2 linked regions of the Caenorhabditis elegans genome follow. The protein of the gene in region 2 purifies or fractionates together with the protein of the main gene of each other region. This does not show direct contact. Each region holds a gene or a part of one and is shown on either strand. Other genes may lie near its edges. The genes, in order: glel-1 and nmrk-1.

What was found.
Region 1: the proteins of nmrk-1 (region 2) and glel-1 fractionate together in Caenorhabditis elegans (co-fractionation; one large-scale study listed by BioGRID). This does not show direct contact.

The regions. Positions count from the first base shown.
Region 1 is NC_003281.10:12,272,065-12,277,350, reverse strand, and holds the start of glel-1 (RanBD1 domain-containing protein), read right to left. Parts: upstream 3,312-5,286; 5' UTR 3,310-3,311; coding exon 3,197-3,309; intron 3,147-3,196; coding exon 2,877-3,146; intron 1,481-2,876; coding exon 79-1,480; intron 1-78. Other genes in the region: pifk-1A (1-phosphatidylinositol 4-kinase), read left to right, coding at 3,671-3,733, 3,779-3,922, 3,981-4,074, 4,148-4,475.
Region 2 is NC_003279.8:6,105,108-6,109,710, forward strand, and holds nmrk-1 (Molybdopterin synthase catalytic subunit), read right to left. Parts: upstream 2,609-4,603; coding exon 2,522-2,608; intron 2,379-2,521; coding exon 2,319-2,378; intron 1,894-2,318; coding exon 1,675-1,893; intron 1,629-1,674; coding exon 1,508-1,628; intron 1,463-1,507; coding exon 1,303-1,462; intron 1,254-1,302; coding exon 878-1,253; 3' UTR 756-877; downstream 1-755. Other genes in the region: T27A3.8 (NADH dehydrogenase subunit 4L), read left to right, coding at 195-363, 407-462; nse-1 (Phorbol-ester/DAG-type domain-containing protein), read right to left, coding at 3,189-3,492, 3,537-3,721, 3,767-3,938, 3,982-4,103, 4,150-4,250, 4,303-4,540.

The sequences.
Region 1 (5,286 bases), on a different chromosome or scaffold from region 2:
GCAGACCCGCCCCTGACGTCACATTTTTCGCGGGGGAAAAAATTCCCGCATTTTTTGTAGATCAAATCGTTATGGCACCTTTTCAGTGATGGTCCTCTTCAAAAGAGCTCGGAAATGTGGATCGGCGCTAGATTCGAATGATTTCTTATCGTCGGCGAGTGTCTTCAGAAGGCCAATGTAGTTTTTGAATAGAATATATGGCCGGACTGATGGTTTTTGAGCTTTTTCCGGCGGCTTTTCATCAAAAATCGGCGGTTTTCCAGTGGTTTTAGCGGGGATTTCTGCATTTTCCGGGGCATTTTCCGCAGGCTTCACACGTAAAAATCCAGTGGTTTTGGGAGAGCTTCCTCCAAAAATCGTCGACAGCTTTTGCTCATTTGGAGGTAATTTTGCTCCAAAAATCGGCGATTTTCCAGTAGTTTTAGCTGGAATTTCAGCATTTTCCGGGGCATTTTCAGTAGGTTTCACACCGAAAAATCCACTGGTTTGAGGAGAGTTTGCTCCAAAAATCGACGGTTTTCCTGTAGTTTTAGCGGGGATTTCTGCTTGTTTGGGTGCATTTCCAGGAGGTTTCACACCAAAAAACCCAGGCTCATTTGGAGGCAAGTTCCCACCGAAAATCGATGATTTCTGTGAATTTCCTGTCGTTGTTGCACCAAAACGTCCCGATTTTTCAGAAGGAGAAGCTTTGGAATCATGAATTGAGCCGGAGCCGGATCCTGCGGAAAAATCGAAATTTGGAGCCAAACGTGTGGCTTCAGCTGCTGGTGATTTTGGAGAAGTTTCTGAGCCAAATTTTCCCATATTTTCTGATTTTTCAGAAGCTTTGGGATCTTGAATTGAGCCGCCGATGTCTGCGAAAAAGCCAAATTTCGGAGCCGCCGGATCAGACGATTTTGGAGAATTTTCCCTATAGTTCTGAGCTGCATTATATTCTCCGAGTACTGCTTTCTGTAGATCTGTTTCTCTGAAGGCTTCGTTTCCCTTTTGAGCTTTTGCTTTGGAATCTTGAATTGAGCCGCCGATTCCAGCGGAAAAATCGAATTTCGGAGCCGCTTTTTCTCGTTTTTCCTCCATTTCCTTTGCCTTTTGAGCTTCCAGCGCCTTTTTCATGACGTCATTCTGAAGAACAGGCGATTCCATAGCCGTCACAAAGTCAGTCCTCTCAAAAACACTATCATCGCCGCCGCCGCCGCCACCGCCACCGCATTCCTCAGTGATTTGTTCAGAGAACAACGGGAACGGCGGTTGCTTCGAAACTGGCGTCGACGTGGCTCCATGGATTCCGGCAAATGCGAACGATGGTCGAGACCCGTTGTAGTGATCTAAATTGAATGAATCATGAGTTTGCGGGTAGAAGACTGTCTCGTGAGCATCTTTTGGAGTTGAAGCTGGCTTTGTTGGAGCAGGAGGAGGAAGAACTATCGACTTCAGGCTTGCCATGTTTTCGCCGAAAATCGGATTTTGGCGTGGGCGGACTCTGCAAAAATAGGATTTATTAAATTTTTTCGAAAAAAAAAATTAGATTTGAGGTTTCGGATCTACGATTTCGGGGTTGGCACCGAAAAAAAAATTTAAAAAATTAAAATTTTTTTTCATCAATATAAACAAAATTCGATGAAAAATCGAATTTTATGGATAATTTTCTGACCGATTTTTTAAAAATTTTCCAGGAAATTTTTCGAATTTCCTCTGAAAAACTTTGTAAATTTTCGATTAGGAGTCTCGACACGACAAATTTGTAATTTTTGCCAAAATTCAAAAAATGTATGTGCGCCTTTAAAGAGTACTGTAGTTTCAAACTTTTTTTGAAAGCTGAATGATTTATACATAAAATTCGATTTCTAATCTAATTTTGTCTATTTTAATGAGAAAAAACATCGAAGTGGGCGGCAATTGCCGTTCGGCAAATCGGCAAAATGCCGTTTTGCCGGAAATTTTCAATTTGCCGGTTTTCCGATTTGCCGGAAATTTTGAATTCTGGCAATTTGCCGTTTTGCCGGAAATTTTAAATTCTGGCAATTTGCCGGAAATTTTCAATTCCGGCAATTTCCGTTTTGCCGAAAAATTTTCAATTCTGGCAATTTGCCGATTAGCCGGAAATTTTAAATCAGGCAATTTGCCGATTAGCCGGAAATTTTCAATTCTGGCAATTTGCAGATTTGCCGGAAATTTTCTATTCCGGCAATTTCCGTTTTGCCGAAAAATTTTCAATTCTGGCAATTTGCCGATTAGCCGGAAATTTTCAATATGCCTTTTTGCCGGAAGTTTTAAAGTTCGGCAATTTGCCTTTTTGCCGGAAATTTTAAATTTCGGCAATTCGCCGTTTTGCCGGAAATTTTCAATTCCGGCAATTTGCCGTTTGCCGCCCACCCCTGAAAAAAAATAAAGAAACAGAAAATGCCTCCTAAAAAAAAGTGAATAATGGCCGAAATATTAAGCGAATTTTTGAAAATTGAAATTTTTCGTTTTTCAACTGTGCGAAATTTCATGGGGGTCTCGACACGACAAATTTTTAATTTTTGCCAAAATTCAAAAAATGTATGTGCGCCTTTAAAAAGTGATGTAGTTTAAAACATTTTTTTGAAAGCTGAATGATTTTCAAATTTTTTCGATTTTCGATTTTCGATTTTCCTCAAAGAAAAACGGTGTTTCTTTGAAATTTTCTTCGAGAAATTTTTATTATAATCAAATTTAAAAATTCGAAAAATTTCTCGTTTTTTCTCGAATAATATCCTTGCCAACGCAAAAAAAACGCCGCCGTTCATGCTAAACAACACGCGTAACATCGGAGCATCGTTGTGTGTCACGTTTTTCTTCGAGAAAACAGCGGGGTTGGCACGGTGCCAGATGATCCGTAATTCGGCCAGATTTACCTCGCTGTGAACGGAACCATTCGAGCTGTGGAACTCGGAGAAGCGAACTCTTTTTCAAAATCTTCCCGTGCTTTTTTCAGCTCCAAATCTGTGGGTTTTCTCAAAAATGGACGATTTTCCTTCTTCGAGCCGACGTCAACCTCGCTCATCGCCTTAACAAGGTCCTCAAACTTCTTATCGAACTTCTCACTGTGCTTTTGTCTTCGAATAGCTTTTTCTCGCATATAATCCTCTTTTCTCGTTACCGAATCCTGAAAATCTCGGTCCAATCTGCAAAAAAACCCCTTGTTTTCAGACGTTTTTTCGATGAAAAGGCCCACTTTTCATCTAAAATCGGCTTCATCGACGGCAAACGCCACTGTCGGAAGTACATATCGTTGTCTCCACCGTATGGGACATCATCATCCATTTCTTCAAGCTTGAACGTCGGCATGGCTGGAAAATAAAAATAAATTTTATATTATTTTATATTTTCAATGATGATTTTCAGCCAAATTAGTCAGAATTTGGCGAATTTGTGTAGATTTTACACCAATACAATGATTTTTTAATGTTAAATGCAAAAAAAAAAGTGCAAAAATGGGAGAATTTTAGCGAAAAACTAAAGAAAACCGATTCTAAAAATTGAATTCCAACTTATCCGAGAGTATTACAAAACCCCTGGCCTAGAAACCACAACCCTGTTTTTCTCTGCGCTCTCCTCGTTCTCCACACTCTCTCTCTGCCTCCGGTTTTCCGATAAATGGACTGAAAAGACCGATTTTTTCTATTTTTTCTCGATTTTCCATGAAAAAATGCGAGATATCGAGGATTTTGTGTTCACAAATAAGCAATGTCTGGCGATTTGCATTGCTCAAGTGAGTTTTTGGGCTAGAAATTCAATAAAAATTGAGTTTTTTCAGAATGAAAACACGAAATTATCGCAAATTTTCAATCTTCTCGCGCTGGACGACAAGGAAGAGCAATTCGAAGCTCAGCCGTTAAGCCATAATGTCAGATGTTCACTAATAGCGATCGCAAATTATTTATTGCATAGCCATGGACAGGTTTGCGGAAAAAAAACTGAAAAAAACGGCTAAAAAATTAAATTTTTCCTAATTTCAGCACGCCGATGAGCTTGTTCCAATGCTGCTCCGTGCTCTAATTGCTCTTCCGCACATGAAATGGATTGATGATGGGCTTTTGAACAAATCTGATAGTGGGTTTTTGGAAAAAAAAAATTTTTTTGAAAATTTTTTGAAAATTTTGAAAAAAATTTTTTTTTGTTGCAGAAATCCCTATCCAAGAGCAATTCTCGTTCTGCTTCAACACTTCACTATCCGACTTGGCCGCCCATCTTCCACGATTCCGCCAACAAATCGTTTCAGCTCAAGCGGATGCTCTCGCCTGTGCAGTTTCATCAATTTACGATGTTTTGGAGGATCAGGAGAGCCTGGAGCACAATTATTCGCATGTGATTAAGCTTATGTGCTATGCTCTGGGACTTTTACGCTCAATTGGACGATTTTCAGCTGACTATGATACTCCGCTAATTTCCCTGATTTTTCCGCTACCCGTGGATGAAACTAAAAAGTGCAAGGGCGCTGGTGGAGCGGATATGTTAGTTTTCGACGGAATTTTTGGGAAAAAAATGAAGAAAATGATGAAAAATTGACAGAAAAACAGTACAAATCACCTTATTTTCGATAAAAAATTCCAATTTTTGGCAATTTCCCAGTTTTTGGTCGTTTTTCCGCTGTTTTAGATAAATTTTACCTTTCGATAGGCATCAAATTGAGTGGCTATCGGCTTAAAATGCGCCTAAATCAACGAAAAATGCGAGATAATCGACCAAAATATGCAATAAAAGGTGAAAATCGAATCATTTACTATATATAAAGCGCTTATTCTGTGTGCCCATAGTTTGTAGTCTATGTAGTCTTTGTAGTCTCAGAAGTTCTGGCTGCTGAAGGGATAGTTAGTTGAGGTTAGTGTAGGGATATAGTCGGGGTACTGTAGTGGTACAATAGTGGTACGGTAGGAATACTGTAGGGTTATGGTAGTTTCAGAAAAAATTAGTTTTAGACCCAGAAGTCAGGGACCGCGCCGGAGGTGCGGTCCACAGCTGGTAAAAACATATAAAAAATTCTAAAATTTTCAATAAATTGAATTTTTGGAAAATTGTATTTTAAAAAGCCAAAAAAACCGTGCCGCAGGGTTGCAAAACTAAGTTCCGCCTTTTTTTCTGTGCGGCGCGGTTTTTTTTGTTGCGAAATTCACATAAAAATTCATAAAACCGCTAACACTATAATTAATTTTTTTGAAAAATTGTTTTTTTGTAATCCGGAAAAAACCCTGCCGCGGGGTTGCAAAATTAGGCTCCGCCTCTTTTTCTGTGCGGCGCGTTTTTTTTTGTTGCAAAATTCATAAA
Region 2 (4,603 bases):
ATATCATTTGAATTTTTTGAAAATAGTTTTCCTTCAAAAAACAGTAACTTTAGAAAAATGTATTTACCGTTAAAAAAAATCGCGGTTACGGTAGTTAGCAACGTTTTAGGACCACGAACCTTATGTTGATTCTGAAAATTGTCCTGTTCGAGAAATTATAGAATATCTTGAGATTTTTATTCTAAATGTTTCAGTTTATCTGTGAATTCCTTCTTCTATCACTTCATATCACCCGAATGATGTTATCAGTCAGCTTCTTATGGATGTGGGAATTGGCGATAAACACTGAATTATTGGATTTTCTTGGTATAATTATTTCAATTGTTATATCTACCAAAGTTCTTTTGCATATTTTTTCTTATGGTACACTTTTCCAAAATATTCCAATTTTAAAAATTATTTTCAGAAATAGTCTTCACTTTCAATTCGGAAGAATACGAGCAGCAAGTTGACTTGAATTGATGCTTTAAGAAATAGCATACGATGATTCAAATGGGTTGTATCTACGGGAGCCATGTATTAATGCAATAAATGATTTTCAAACAAAATTTTATAGAATAAAATGAAAAACTAGTCTCGGAGTGTTACCATAGTCTTTTGTCCTCACAATCATTCAGACAGGGATAACTCTTGGTCGTCATCGACGGCTGGGGGTCGAACCAGCGACCCGCTGCACACAAAACACACACGCTACCGGTGACACCATTCATGTCAGGTTCTCTTTGAAAAGAAGTGCAGTTATGAGGCGAAGGAGAAAAAGAAAACATTTATTCTCTAAAATTCTAGCTAGCAAGTTCATCTATTCAAAAATGTACAATGTACATATCACAAATAAGCTCATATCCATAAAAATTATAAAAAACATCTTCAGATTAAATCATTGTTTTGAATCTTCGATATTTGATTTCCAAACTCCGTCCACTTCTCCATTCGAGTATTCTTCGTATTTAAAGATTGGTGCATGCTCCTTCAATAAATCAATACATTTTTCAGTGGCTTGAATTGCAGTCTTCCGATGTGGTGAAGACGTGGAAATTATCACAGATGACTCTCCGATGTCTACTTTTCCTAGACGATGAAAAATCGCGATTTTCTTAACATCCGGATATTCCGCTCGAATTTCTGCACAGATTCCACGTAGCTTCTTGTATGCCATCAAGTCGTGACAATCGTAGGAAAGGTTGCTGACGTCACGACCTCCATGGTTATCACGTGTCACACCGTTAAAGGTGGATATTGCTCCACAGGAAGGGCTGAAATAGGAGAGGTTATTGTTGTTAGTTTGAAAAGATTAAAACATACTGACTAACAAGCTGATCCACAACCTTCACATCTATCACTTCATCAGTCAGTTTTATATGATCATCAAGGATTTGTTGTCTAAAGTTAACTATCGACTTGTTCTTGTCATCAAATTTGGACTCCGAGACATCGATGAATGTTAATCGGGAATCTGTGCGACCTTAAACAAAAAATGTTTAATTGGAAATTGGAATCAGACTCATACTTCTTTGCCTCGCCCTTTCTAAATGTCTAACATAAGCAGGAAAAGCGACGTTGACAAAATATCCAGGTGTGTCTGCAGGCACATAATCTGTTCGAGCTTCGCGTCTTCGTTTGCAGGTTTTCTGAAAAAGTTAGAAATTTTAATAATATTAATCGAAAGAATCTTACAAAATCCAGTGTCATCACAACTATCCGATCACACAGATCCACGATTTCGTCCATTTCGGTAATCATATTCCCGTCGATTATCACATTTTTATAAACTTTCGATTCATTGAGAATCCGTTGTCGAAACTGATCTATATTTATCGCTTCTTTTTCGTCAAAACTCCAATAATATCCCTCATCGGTGAGATGCTCAGCGTCCGGGTGGTAAATTTTTTCAACCTGAAATAACGTTTTTTTTTTTTGAAAAAAGTTTCTGAAACCCCAGACGCGAAATGTTGAGATTTTTCCGCTGAAAACACGGTACCCGGTCTCGACTAGACAATTTTCGTTCAATACAAACGGATGTGCGCCTTTAAAGAGTACTGTAATTAAAAACTTGTAATTTTCATTGATTTTTCATAGTTTTTCTCACAATTAATTGCAATTTTCTAAAATGTATTTGTTTTCAATTTTTTATTTTAGTTGTTTGTTACAAAACAAAGCTTAAACGACAAACTACAAAATCGATTAAAATTTCCTAGAGAAAAGTTTAAAACTACAGTACTCATAAAAAGGCGAGTCGAGCCCACTCTTTCTCTGTACGGAAATAAAGTTAATTCTGTGTTTTGTTTGTGATGGCTTTTTTTCGGATTTTCTAAACCAACCTCGTTTTCAGTTTTGTAAAATTCGTCTTGATTTATTATTGTAGTCTCGCCGGCACCAAACTGAAAATACAATATATTAATCGTTGTTGGACAGCCTCACAGAGTCTCAAATTTTGATGTAAAGTGTGAAGCACGATGAATTGCATATAAACTGCGTCTTACGAGAAAGCTAACATTGTTCCGACTTCTTTGTTTCAACTTACAAATCGTTGAAATTCCTTTGCTAACGTGGATTTCCCGGAATTTGTGCAACCGGCCAAAGCCAAAACATAGGCTTTTGTTGAGGTCATCTGTAAAATTCAAAAGTCTTCCAAAAATTGAAGCAGAAAAAAGCAAGCGGCTAGAAAAATGCAATCAATTCGAACAATAAAATCAATTGAATTATCAGAAAAAAATCGATGAATTTATCTCTTGCATTCTCGTGTGACGGGCCCGGTAGAAAACACAATGATAAGCAGAGGAAAGAGGAGATTAAAACTTTCAGATTTTCAGGTCAAAACCAGCAATTTCAGATTTAAAACGTGGTTATATCGGGAAAATTACATTCTAAAAAATGTTTCATTGAAGATGTATGCATGAAAAATGGGATGAAAATCGCGGGTGGGAAAAGTCAGTGAACCGGAGGGAAAAGGTGAGGTATTTGACACGTGTGTGGGAAGGTAGGAAAGTGAAGAGGGATGGATTCGGATTAAAATGCAGAGAAATAGGAATAAAAACCAGTCTACAAAAAACGATAGAAAAGGGAAAGCTTTAACTGAAAAAAATGTCTGTATTTCAAAACATCGTTTGGCAGAAAATAAAAAACAAAATCCAAAAAAATAGTCCAAAAAGAGTACACAGCCGAATTTTTTAAATAGAAATCCCTCTGCTTTATTCACTGTCACTGTCTGGAACTCGCTGGTTCCGCTTCCCTCTCGTCGGCCTAGGAGTTATGGTCATATCATCGTCAGAATCAACTGGAGCCGGCGTTTTCGATTTAGATTTCGCTCTTTGTGTCCTTGAAGGAGCTTTCGGAACATCTGAATCTGGTGAAGGGCTTCTAGCCACGGTGTCTCTCGATCGTGGAACACCTGTGGCCTTCTTGGTATCAATTTGCTTGAGAACCTCATTCAAAGACAGATTTTGATTGCATTTCTGACATTCAACGTTGTCTTGGTGAGAAATTATCGTTGCACTGAAATCCATTGTTTTTTTTGCTTTTCCCGGCAAACAACCTACTTTTTGAAGCAATTAAAATGACACAACGCATGACATTTCTGACATTCAGCAGTGTAAACCGATCGGGAAATGATTTTTCTGCACAGTTCACAAGTTTTGAGGTCTCCTGTAAACTTGGCACGAAGCCAGGGCTCCAGTTCGACTAGAATGCGTGGTGTGATCTCTGCAACTTCGTTTTCGTCGGTCTGAAATGCAAAATGCACTGATAACTATTATTGAATTCTTATTACCATTAAAAAATACCTTTGTCTCATCATTTTTGCCATGAAAATGTCGCATTTAGGGCCAGGCATTTTGCATGGTTCATGCCGAATTTGAGAATGAACCCAATCCATTTGAACGGTTCCATCTGAGGAAATCATTTCTTCGAGAATAACGAGAAGAAGAGCTCGCTCGACTTTTCTGCAACTTTCAATTGGAAACTTTATATTCAAAAAATTCTTACGTCAAATCGCTGGCTTCACTAATAACTGAAGAATTTCTTCCGCATCCTGTCATTGTGACAAACTCCGTTGGAGATTTTTCATCCGTAGAAATTACGAATCGCCACGGCCGGAACGGTTTTGGCTAGAATTTCAACTTTAATATCTGTTTCCCCATAAAAATTGCTCACCCCTTTTCCTTCATCGTCATTCATAGTTTTCACAATCAATTTCGAAAGTTGACGTGCTTCCTCTCGATTTGTCTGAATTTGCATTACAGTATCTGGATGTCCTGCAAACAAATTGTTTATTCCAATATTATTTCCCTTCTTAAAATTACAGACTTTTCCAGATAGCAGTGGTCAAATGCTTGGCGAACATCAGGTTCATCTTCTTAGCGCTCATCGATGGTTCCAAGATGAATTTATTGATTAGGTGGCGATGACTAGCTCCAAACTTTTTTGCGGCTTTCATGACTTCTTCCATTTTGGGTACTTCTTTGTTGAACTTCTCGAAAAGCAAAGTGTAGTCGAAATCACCGTGTGGTTCTTCAAATGAGGTGTCGCTACCGTCATCTGACATTGTTTTGGCTGAAAATTGTTTTAATCAAACTTTTTCTTTTAAAAAAGTATGTTTCGGAGGAAA